Oryctolagus cuniculus: one gene and its partners. The protein of the gene in region 1 interacts with the protein of each later gene in a biochemical or structural test. Links are inferred from orthologs where the notes say so. Each region holds a gene or a part of one and is shown in the gene's direction. Other genes may lie near its edges.

What was found.
Region 2: the proteins of UBE2D2 (region 1) and TRIM28 form a complex in vitro, tested with the Homo sapiens proteins (2 studies listed by BioGRID). The link is inferred for Oryctolagus cuniculus from reciprocal best matches to the Homo sapiens genes UBE2D2 and TRIM28.
Region 3: the proteins of UBE2D2 (region 1) and RFFL form a complex in vitro, tested with the Homo sapiens proteins (2 studies listed by BioGRID). The link is inferred for Oryctolagus cuniculus from reciprocal best matches to the Homo sapiens genes UBE2D2 and RFFL.

What each region holds. Positions count from the first base shown.
Region 1 is NC_091437.1:27,308,903-27,312,552, forward strand, and holds part of UBE2D2 (ubiquitin-conjugating enzyme E2 D2), read left to right. Parts: intron 1-1,911; coding exon 1,912-2,005; intron 2,006-3,465; coding exon 3,466-3,511; 3' UTR 3,512-3,650.
Region 2 is NC_091449.1:95,387-98,812, reverse strand, and holds the end of TRIM28 (transcription intermediary factor 1-beta), read left to right. Parts: intron 1-13; coding exon 14-128; intron 129-247; coding exon 248-394; intron 395-490; coding exon 491-605; intron 606-680; coding exon 681-787; intron 788-880; coding exon 881-917; intron 918-1,004; coding exon 1,005-1,050; intron 1,051-1,126; coding exon 1,127-1,379; intron 1,380-1,466; coding exon 1,467-1,786; intron 1,787-1,859; coding exon 1,860-1,983; intron 1,984-2,075; coding exon 2,076-2,162; intron 2,163-2,243; coding exon 2,244-2,381; intron 2,382-2,465; coding exon 2,466-2,639; 3' UTR 2,640-2,828; downstream 2,829-3,426. UniProt on the Homo sapiens protein: Nuclear corepressor for KRAB domain-containing zinc finger proteins (KRAB-ZFPs).
Region 3 is NC_091448.1:39,272,520-39,276,169, forward strand, and holds the end of RFFL (E3 ubiquitin-protein ligase rififylin), read left to right. Parts: intron 1-603; coding exon 604-785; 3' UTR 786-3,189; downstream 3,190-3,650.

The sequences.
Region 1 (3,650 bases):
TGTGAAAGCAGTAGGAGATGGCCCAGGTCCTTGGGCTCCTGCACCCGTGTGGGAGACCCAGAAGAAGCTCCTGGCTCCTGGCTCCTGGCTTCTGGCTTCATATCAGCCCAGCTCTGGCCATTGTGGCCATCTGGAGAATGAACCAGCAGATGGAAGACCTCTCTCTCTCTCTGCCTGCCTCTGCCTCTGCCTCTGCCTCTGCCTCTGCCTCTGCCTCTGCCTCTGCCTCTGCCTCTGCCTCTGCCTCTGCCTCTCTCCAACTCTGCCTTTCAAATAAATATTAAATAAATCTTTAAAAAAAAAGTTACAGAAAGGCTGAGGATGAGAGAGCGCGCGGGCAAGTGAGCTTCCATCCATTGGTCCACTCCCCCATCCCCACCCCCACCCCCTGCAAATGGCCTCAACCGCAGGAACTGGGCCAGTTGCAAGCCAGGAGCCTTGTGAGTACAGCGGCCCAAGGACTTGGCCATCCTCTGCTACTTTACCAAAGCCCATTAGCAGGGAGCTGTATTGGAAGAGGAGCAGCTGTGACTCAGAAAGGCACTCACGGAATGCAGGCACTACAGATGGCAGTGCTGGCTCCAGCACGGGCCTTTTTTGTTAAAATTTTTTTTTAATTTATTTATTTGAAAGAGTGACAGATCTTCCACCTGCTGGTTTACTCCCCAAATGCCCACAAAAGCCAGGGCTTGGCCAACTCCTTCAGGGTCTCCCACATAGGGGTGGCAGGGATCCAAGTACTTAGATCATCTGTTGCTGCCTTCCCAGGCATATTAGCAGGAATCTGTGTGGGAAGGGAGTAGCTGGGACTCAGACTGACACTGTGATATTTGATGGAGGCACCCCAAGTAGCGGCCTAATCTGCTGTATCACAGTGCCTGATCCAATGGCCTTTATGTTCTTGGCTTAGACTAAATTGTTTTCAACTGAAAACTAAGCAAATCTGTTGTATCTAAAAGTGCTACCTACCATACAGAAAACATTGTTGGATTTTGTGATTATCAGTTTTACCTAAGAGTATACAGTAGTGGGGCTAGATTTGTAATTTTGAAAGCCATTTTTCCCTGAACATGAGCTTCTAAAAATTGAGCTTTCAAAAGTGTTATTGGTTTAATATTTGGAAGACATTATAGTTACTAGTTAAGGACTTTGGACCAGTCACTTCTGTCTAGGCTGGCTTCCTTGGGAGTTTAGTCACACATTTCTTGTCTTTCTCTTTTCTAACTTCATAGAATATAAGACTTTGAACAAAGAGTCTTATATTCTTGTGTGAGTGACCAAGATGTCATTTATCATTTTTTTTTTTTTATTTATTTTTTTTTTTTTTGACAGGCAGAGTGGACAGTGAGAGAGAGAGACAGAGAGAAAGGTCTTCCTTTGCCGTTGGTTCACCCTCCAATGGCCGCCGCGGCCGGCGCGCTGCGGCCGGCGCACCGCGCTGATCCGATGGCAGGAGCCAGGAGCCAGGTGCTTTTCCTGGTCTCCCATGGGGTGCAGGGCCCAAGCACCTGGGCCATCCTCCACTGCACTCCCTGGCCACAGCAGAGGGCTGGCCTGGAAGAGGGGCAACCGGGACAGAATCCGGCGCCCCGACCGGGACTAGAACCCGGTGTGCCGGCGCCGCTAGGCGGAGGATTAGCCTAGTGAGCCGCGGCGCCGGCCTGTCATTTATCATTTACCATTAATTTTGTTCTTTTTGTTTTCATTTTTATTTTTAGGTGACAACTTGAAATCTGTATAAGATTTTAAATTCTTTGTTGACCACTGTTATACAAGCAAGGCAGAATTTATATAGCTGCTAGGCACTAAAGTATAGTAGGTTTTCAGAATTTTCTCAGGTGATGACTTCTCATGTTTCTCTCCACCCTTTGCTTTTATCCTCTACTAATGAATACATTTGTTTCATTCTAGTCCTCTTGTCCATCTGTTCTCTGTTGTGTGATCCCAATCCAGATGATCCTTTAGTGCCTGAGATTGCTCGGATCTACAAAACAGATAGAGAAAAGTAAGTATGGCCTCTAGACAGAAAGTGTACAAAGTGGGATTGAGATGTTTGTCTCAAATCTTTCTTACAAGATTCTTAAAATGAAGTCCTAATAAACTTCCCCACGGACAGGAAAAAGGAATATTTGCACAAGTATCTTTATCAGTGGATGATACTGTTTTTAATCTTGCTTTCATAAGGCTCCTACTATCTAGAAAAACTTTTTTACAGTGTATTCTCCAACAGCTTTATGTTGTATGTTTGGCTTTGGATACATGAAACATTTTGTGTCAAGTGCCCATTTTCTTATGTAGGTATTTGTAAATTAATGGGAAAAGGGAATTGATTTTCTACCATTTGGCATAATCTAAAGGAAAAAAGTAAGTAAATGCCATTAGACATGAAAGCCCACATTTCTTTTAAAAATAAAATGTGACAAACAATTTAGATGTTTTAGAGTCAGACTGAATTATTGAAGAGTGGTCTGGATATCAAAAGAGAGTAACTAAAAGTGTTCTAACCATTTTTGTTATGTATTATTCAGTGAGATTATAAGAAAAACTAGATGGGAGAGGCTGGTAGTTTTTTCTTTTCTTTTTTTTTTTTTTTTAGTTAAAAGAATAGAGAAGTACTTAAATTCTATTGGCTTAGAGAGAGACACCAGTAGGATTTTTCTTTAATGAAGCTACACTTGCAAACGGGGAACTCTAATAGCTATGGGTTCTTAGTTTTTGTTTGTTTTTCTGTATTATCTATTATCCTAATTTTTTCTCTGCCATGTGCTTATTTGGAATAAAATTGTATTATACTTTTTTCTATTTGTGGATTTATTCACAAATGTTTTTTGATTGGAGAACTGTAGTCCAGTGTCTAGAGCTGGGGACTTGAATGGCATTTCCTAATTAATTGTAATAATGTTCCGTAGAACTTTCCTGCATCTCTAAAAAGAGAGGAATTACGGAATGTTTTTCTTCATGTATTTTTCTACTCAAATGTTCTTCTGGAGCAAAATGCCTATTCATTTTGTCAAGCACAAATTGTTGAAATTAAGTTCTGCCAGAACCAGTGTTTTATTGATATAAAGCGAAGTATTACGTCCGTTGGCACATTATTAGTATATGATTTCAAGAACCATATAGTGTAGAATTACATATTTTCAAGAATCTCAAATAATCGAATCAAGAGTTGAACCTATTTCTTAGAAATACATCGATCAAATATATAATATGGTGTATGCCAGCAAATGCTAAAATTAATCAGAATCCTGTAAGTGGCATTTACAGCAAATTGTTTGCATTTTTTAGCTGTGTCCTATATTATTGAATAAGTGCTTATTAAAAATTTGGGATGTAAAAGTGGCTTTGCCTGAGTATTTTGTGGGTTATTCCCCTCACAATACTAGATAAGATAATGAATGAAACCTGTTGTGAACTAATTGACATCTCACTGTTGTTAAGCTAAGCTTCTCTTTGTGTGTACAGGTACAACAGAATAGCTCGGGAATGGACTCAGAAGTATGCGATGTAATTAACGAAATTATTGGATAACCTCTACAAATAAAGATAGGGGAACTCTGAAAGAGAAAGTCCTTTTGGTTTCCATTTGACTGCTTTCTATGAGCCCACGCCTCATCTTCCCCTGTGCACATGTTTACCTGATACAGCAG
Region 2 (3,426 bases), on another chromosome or scaffold:
CCTTTTCTCCTAGGATCCGCCAGGTGTCTGATGTACAGAAGCGTGTGCAGGTGGATGTCAAAATGGCCATCTTGCAGATCATGAAGGAGCTGAACAAGCGGGGCCGTGTGTTGGTCAACGACGCCCAGGTAATCCTCGTGTGGGTGGGAGGGTCCTTGGGTAGCCGCTGCTGGCTGCTGGTGCCATGCAGAGTGGGCAGGGATCCCAGTGTCTGTCTTACTGCCCTGCTGACCTTTTCCATCTGCAGAAGGTGACTGAGGGTCAGCAGGAGCGTCTGGAGCGTCAGCACTGGACCATGACTAAGATCCAGAAGCACCAGGAGCACATCCTGCGCTTTGCCTCTTGGGCTCTGGAGAGTGACAACAACACAGCCCTGTTGCTCTCTAAGAAGCTGGTATGTGTTGGTGGGTTCACAGGTGGGAACCCCAACACCCTCTAGCCCTGTTCATTTCCCATGTTGCTTCATGCCCCTTCCCGCTTGCCCCACCAGATCTACTTCCAGTTGCACCGGGCCCTCAAGATGATTGTGGATCCCGTGGAGCCACATGGCGAGATGAAGTTTCAGTGGGACCTCAATGCCTGGACCAAGAGTGCTGAGGCCTTTGGTGGGTCCCCGTTTTTTGTCCCTGTTCTACTTTGTCGCCACCCTAATGGTACACCTACATAGTCTCTTCTTGCAGGCAAGATCGTGGCAGAGCGTCCTGGTACCAACTCTACAGGCCCTGCACCCATGGCACCTCCGAGGGCCCCAGGGCCCCTGAGCAAGCAGGGCTCTGGCAGTAGCCAGGTGAGCGGGGGAATGGACCCAGGGAGGGGAAGTGCACGGAGTCGCATGCTGTACCTGCCCCACTGAGGTCCCCATGCTCTGTTCTGTGTACAGCCCATGGAGGTGCAGGAAAGCTATGGCTTTGGGTCAGGTGAGTGAGTCTGCCTGGTGGGTGGGAGAGCCCAGTGCCCTGGCTACACATCAGCCGTTCATCCGTCTTTTTCCATCTCTTGAGCAGATGATCCCTACTCAAGTGCGGAGCCTCATGTGTCAGGTGTGAAGCGGTGAGTGTGAGTTCTCTGTGGTGGTAGATGGGAAAGAATGAGAGTAAAGGGAGCTCACGCCAGTATGCACTTACAGGTCCCGCTCAGGTGAGGGTGAGGTGAGCGGCCTCATGCGCAAGGTGCCACGGGTCAGCCTAGAACGTCTGGACCTGGACCTCACAGCTGATAGCCAGCCGCCTGTCTTCAAGGTGTTTCCAGGCAGCACCACTGAGGACTATAATCTCATCGTTATTGAACGTGGTGCTGCTGCTGCAGCAGCTGGGCAGCCTGGGACTGCACCTCCAGGAACTCCTGGTGCACCACCACTCCCTGGCATGGCTATTGTCAAGGTGAGTGTGTCCCCAAGGGCTGTGGCTGGAGGATGATACCTGTCACCCTCGTGTCTGTACCTTACGGAACATTTGACCACTTTGCAGGAGGAGGAAACAGAGGCTGCTATTGGAGCACCTCCTGCTGCCACTGAGGGCCCGGAGACCAAGCCTGTGCTGATGGCTCTGGCAGAAGGCCCTGGCACTGAGGGCCCCCGCCTGGCCTCACCCAGTGGCAGCACCAGCTCAGGCTTGGAGGTGGTGGCTCCTGAGGGCACCTCAGCCCCATCTGGTGGCCCGGGCACCCTGGATGATAGTGCTACCATCTGCCGTGTCTGCCAGAAGCCAGGTGACCTGGTCATGTGCAACCAGTGCGAGTTTTGCTTCCATCTGGATTGCCACCTGCCTGCCCTGCAGGATGTGCCAGGGTGCGTGTGGGGCTGGGCAGGGTGCAGAGGGCTGGGCAGGTTCCTGTGCAGCGCCTCATTCTTTTCACCCTAGGGAGGAGTGGAGCTGTTCGCTCTGTCATGTGCTCCCTGATCTGAAGGAGGAGGATGGCAGCCTCAGCCTGGATGGCGCAGACAGCACTGGCGTGGTGGCGAAGCTCTCGCCAGCCAATCAGCGGGTGAGGACTGCGGCTGCTCGGGTGTGGTTACCCAGAGACTGTGACCTTCCCATCCCATGCAGCTGACATTCTCCCTCATATACTGTCTGTAGAAATGTGAGCGAGTCCTGCTGGCCCTGTTCTGCCACGAACCCTGTCGTCCCTTGCATCAGCTGGCTACTGACTCTACCTTCTCCCTGGTGAGCCCTATAAAGGGGTGGGGTGGCTGGAAAGATGGGGACTGTTGTTTCTCATCTTAACCGCGTGTGGTCTTCCTACAGGACCAGCCTGGTGGCACCCTGGACCTGACACTGATCCGTGCACGTCTCCAGGAGAAGTTGTCGCCCCCCTACAGCTCCCCGCAGGAATTTGCCCAGGATGTGGGCCGCATGTTCAAGCAATTCAACAAGTTGACTGAGGTGAGCTCATGGAATGGGGGTGCAGGGGTTGAGGGAGGTGAAGAGCCAGAACCCAACCATTCATTGTACCCTTGCCTGGCCCAGGACAAGGCGGACGTGCAGTCCATCATCGGCCTGCAGCGCTTCTTCGAGACACGCATGAACGAGGCCTTTGGTGATACCAAGTTCTCTGCTGTGCTGGTGGAGCCTCCGCCACTGAGCCTGCCTGGTGCTGGCCTGAGTTCCCAGGATCTGTCTGGCCCTGGTGATGGCCCCTGAGCCTGGGACCCATCCCCCCCCCGCCGTGGCCTGCCCAGTGTGGCTCTCTGTTCTCTATCCTTTACCCTCTGCCCACCCCCACGCCCCCACCCCTGGTGGCCTGATTCCTTCTCCCTGGTGGCCCCATTCCCTAGCCCCTCACGATAATGGTTTTTACTTCTGTGGATTTAATAAAAACTACACCAGTTCCTCAGGCCTTGCTGGTGGGGGACCATGGTCCTGGGGCCTGGTTGCTTCATCTCTTAACCCTAACCCATCAGTTAACCTTGTCCCCAGTCTGAACTCACCTGGGTGCTCGTGGTTGGGAAGAGCATCTTTCTTGGACCTGGTGTTGGGAGGGTCACAGGGTAAAAGGAGCAGGGACGGGAGGCCTGTTTTCTGTCAAGGGCCTTTGGGATGTTTATATCATTTACAAGCCATTACAAAATTATCAAAAATTGGCCCGCTATTGACCAAATGATTCTGTGGGCCTTATGCAACCTGTGGGTGGGTAGATCTGGGCTTACCTGCAGCGTTGGCTGCATTGCACACCTCATGCATGTTTCCTGGGTGTTTTTTGGGCTTTAGCTACTGTTTACCAGCAGGGGTACCACAGTGCGTTCGGTATTCTGAGGCTGGGTAAGTTACTAGGCCAAATGTGTTTGGTACTACACCTCTTAGGAAAAGATACCAAGGTGTTTACAGGAAGACTGCTGTATTGGTGGTAAGAGGCTGTGGCAGCATGCTGGGTTTTAGCCTCCAAGGTAGGGTTGGCTTGTCCATTTTTGTTCTAAACCCCACCAAAGCT
Region 3 (3,650 bases), on another chromosome or scaffold:
TTTTTTTTAAGAATTATTTATTTGAAAGGCAGAGTTGGCAAAGGCAGAGAGAAAGGGGGGAAGAGATCTTCCATCCATTGGTTTTGTGGTATTGTGCCAAATGGGCACAATACCTAAAGATGGGCCAGTCTGAAGCCAGGAGCTTCTTCTGGGTCTCCCCTGTGGGCCATTTGCTACTGCTTTCCCAGGTCATGGCAGAGAGCTGATTCGGAAGTGGAGTAGTCTGGACTTGAACCAGCGTCCACATGGAATGTCAGCAGCACAGGCAGCAGCTTTACCCACTATGCCACAGCGCCGGCCCGTGAACCAGTTTTATCTTACCAACACATTCTGCCTCAGGCGGTAGTGAGCCCTAAGTGCCACTCACTCTCTGTGTAATAGCCTAAATTGTTTCTTCCAAATTTGAGGACTCAAATTTGCCTTAGTCCTCGTGTTCTGGGATTCATTCAGTCCACGAGATGGCACTTTGGCAGGAAGTTTTCTGGGAGAGCTCTACTTGAGGGCTGCCTGTGGACTGGGGAGCTCGGTCAGTGTGCTCTCTCCCACTTCACCTTCAGCCTCTTCACTTTCTCCTCTTCCCTTTCTCTGCTGTGCGTTTTACAGGGGGAGCGGTGCCATCAGGCCTAGAGGAGAACCTGTGTAAGATCTGCATGGACTCACCCATTGACTGTGTTTTGCTGGAGTGTGGCCACATGGTTACCTGTACCAAGTGTGGCAAGCGCATGAATGAATGTCCCATCTGCCGGCAGTATGTGATCCGAGCTGTGCACGTCTTCCGGTCCTGAGGGCTTGCATCGGCTTCTTCAGTGCCTTACAGGGACACAGCCCAGGACGTGGGCCAGGGTTGGCCAGCTCACAGAGGGGCAGGCTGACAGAAGAAAATCTGCAGTGTTCCCAAGACCAGGGCAAGCAAAGATGTCGTGTCACCCCGGGCATCCCGTCTTGCGCCGGGGGTGTACCTCACGGCTGGCTGAGCTCCAGACCAGCGGGAACTGGTACAAATGACACGGTGAGTCCCTGTTTCAGCAGTCTCGGGTTGGTGATGGTAACAGATGAACAGAGGACTTGCCAGAACTTGGACCACGTCTTCTTCCCTTTCTGAGATCCTGGTTTCACCTCCTGTACCGCACCCCCTCCTGGAAATGCTCGCCTGTTTCAGCAGTCAGAAGTCCTGCTAGGAATGGTTGCCTTCTGCCCCAGCACATTTGGGTTTAAATTTCTGGTTTCTGGCTTTCTGTGCTTTAACCTACCTTTGCTGCAGTCTCTTGCTACATTGCCTAAACTCCATTTGTTTCTTTGGACCAAAAATATGTTAGTTTACCAGACCAATAATTGTCCTCAGGACAGAATCTGGACCACTAAACTTACCTCTGGGGAGAAATGAAGCACAAATGCTATAGGAAATGTGAGTTAAAAGTTGCTGAAGTGCTGGGTGGGATTGGAAGCTAGGGGTCCTGACCTGATGCTGCGCGCCAACAAAGCATCTGGCTCGCAAACCTCTGGTCAATCCCAGTGTGTATGAAAGGGATGGTGCACGCCTCTTCTGGGGCCTGACTTTGCACTGCCCATCATGTCAGATGATGAGAGGGGCAGTGTTAGGTGGAGGTGGCAGCTCTCTGCTTCCCTCTGATGTCTGATCCCCCTCGTCCAGCAGGCAGGAATCTCAAACCACTTTGTTAAAGTTCCTGTCTTTCCCGTGGAGTTTTTAAACTTGGTCTCACTGAAAATGAAAGACTCAGGGAGAGCTCTGGTCTCTAGCCACACTTCTCATGCCGTTCTTGGAGACCAGACATGGACGAGCGCCTTGTAGTACAGGGAGGCACTAGATGACGCTGGATTCTGCCCGTGCACAGACAGGTTGGTCGCTCTGGCTGCCTCTCCCAGCCTGCTGATCTGGGACAAGTCGGGGAGGACATGAGTAGGCGAGTCCTCACAGTCCACTGAGGCTGATGGAAGGGCTTCAGAAAAGCTTAAAAGTTGAGCAAAGCACAGCACCTCTGCTAACAGAAGCGCTGTGTGAGCCTCCATCACCAGGGGATGAACTAGGCAAACTACACAGCTGAGGGCCTCGGGAGCCCCCCCCGCCCCCCGCCCGTACCATATACACACCCTGTGCAACCGAGACTGATGAGAACCAGCCGACTCAGAGTGGAAGGCAGTGGGACCCCTCTGAGGGGACCTGTTACACTGGTACATACTCATGCCTGCCCTCCATCAACCACTTACCCCTTTGTGGGGATGAAATGTTGTCATAAAGCAGCTGTCAAACACTAGGCTACTTCCCTTAACATCATAGAGTTCTGGGATACATTGACTCGGCCACAGCCTTGCACATTTTCCCATGAAGGTATCCTCTTTCCCTTATGTTGGACAGTGAATAATGTAGTTTACAATGCCTACCAATTTAGCAAAGGGTCACTTATTCAGCCACTCCTCGATTCTACTGTGAAACAGGTCTATGTATGTGCAACTCAGTTAAGATCTAGCAATAACTTCAGGGCAGAAGCTGGCTCTCTCCCTTATAACTTCCTTTTCCTGCTGAGGCCTTAACTCCCCTACCTCCCAGATACAAGTGGAAGGTAAGATGGGTACTGATAGCTGGGTAATAACCAGTCAGAACTAGGTCACTCATCGTGTAGAAAGAACTTGCCTTTTGATCTTTTATCCTCTACTGGTGAAGGGTCTCGTTTAGGAAAAAAGGTGTCAAACAACTCTGGTTTTTAAATATTTTTTTTGTATTTATTATTATACCAAATAAAAGTTGGGAATTCCAAGATCCCATTCCAGTTAATATCCAACCCAGGTAGAAAACTTTTATTAATTTTTTTTAATCCTTGAATCTTTGATCCTGCCCCTCTTGGATCCTTGGTCTTAATTATTATGGAAACATCTAATTCTTCCAATAATTCCATGGCTTTTGCTGTGACTGCGCTGAGATTTCGGTTGAGACATGAGTGGTTCATGATGCATTGGACTAGTTGGATCCAAATTATTAAGAGTAAGCTGTATAGAAATTAATACTCAATATATATTGTAAAATTTGTTGAAATCTCTTGGATGTGAATGTGTTACTTCAAGTGGCTTATATTAAGAATCTCAGACTGACTTGGGTGTTAAAGCAAACCCAAATATGTATTTTTTTGTTACAGAGCTCAGCTTTATAATTTTGTAATAAAGTGTCAACATAGATGCCTGTCCAATCCTGTGTGAGGGTGATCCCAGAAGTCTGCTGGCTCTGGCCGACAGAATTGACCAATCAGGCAGACCCCAGGCCCTGCATACACGGCCATGCTCTTCAGAGACTGCATTGCTTTTGGAGATGCTTGGCTATGTGGACTTGGTCAAGAGCTCCCTGCTCAGTCTCTTTATGGCCTGCCCAAGATCTCACAGAGAAGTATGTGGGAAAGGCCATGCAACAGCATGTAAGAGTGGGAGCTGATGGGAAGATCAAGTGGGAAGAAGCACCAAGCGAGTTGAGACATTTCCATTGGTCTAGCAGAGATGGGCCTTAAACTCTAGGTAGGAAAGAGTCTGAGGACAGCTACTGTGTCCGGTTTTGTCTGCAGGCTACTCTGAGCTTTTGGATAGCTGTGCTACAGCTGGTGTGTGGCTCAGCTCCAGCTGCATGGGCAATTGCTGTGTGTGCATAG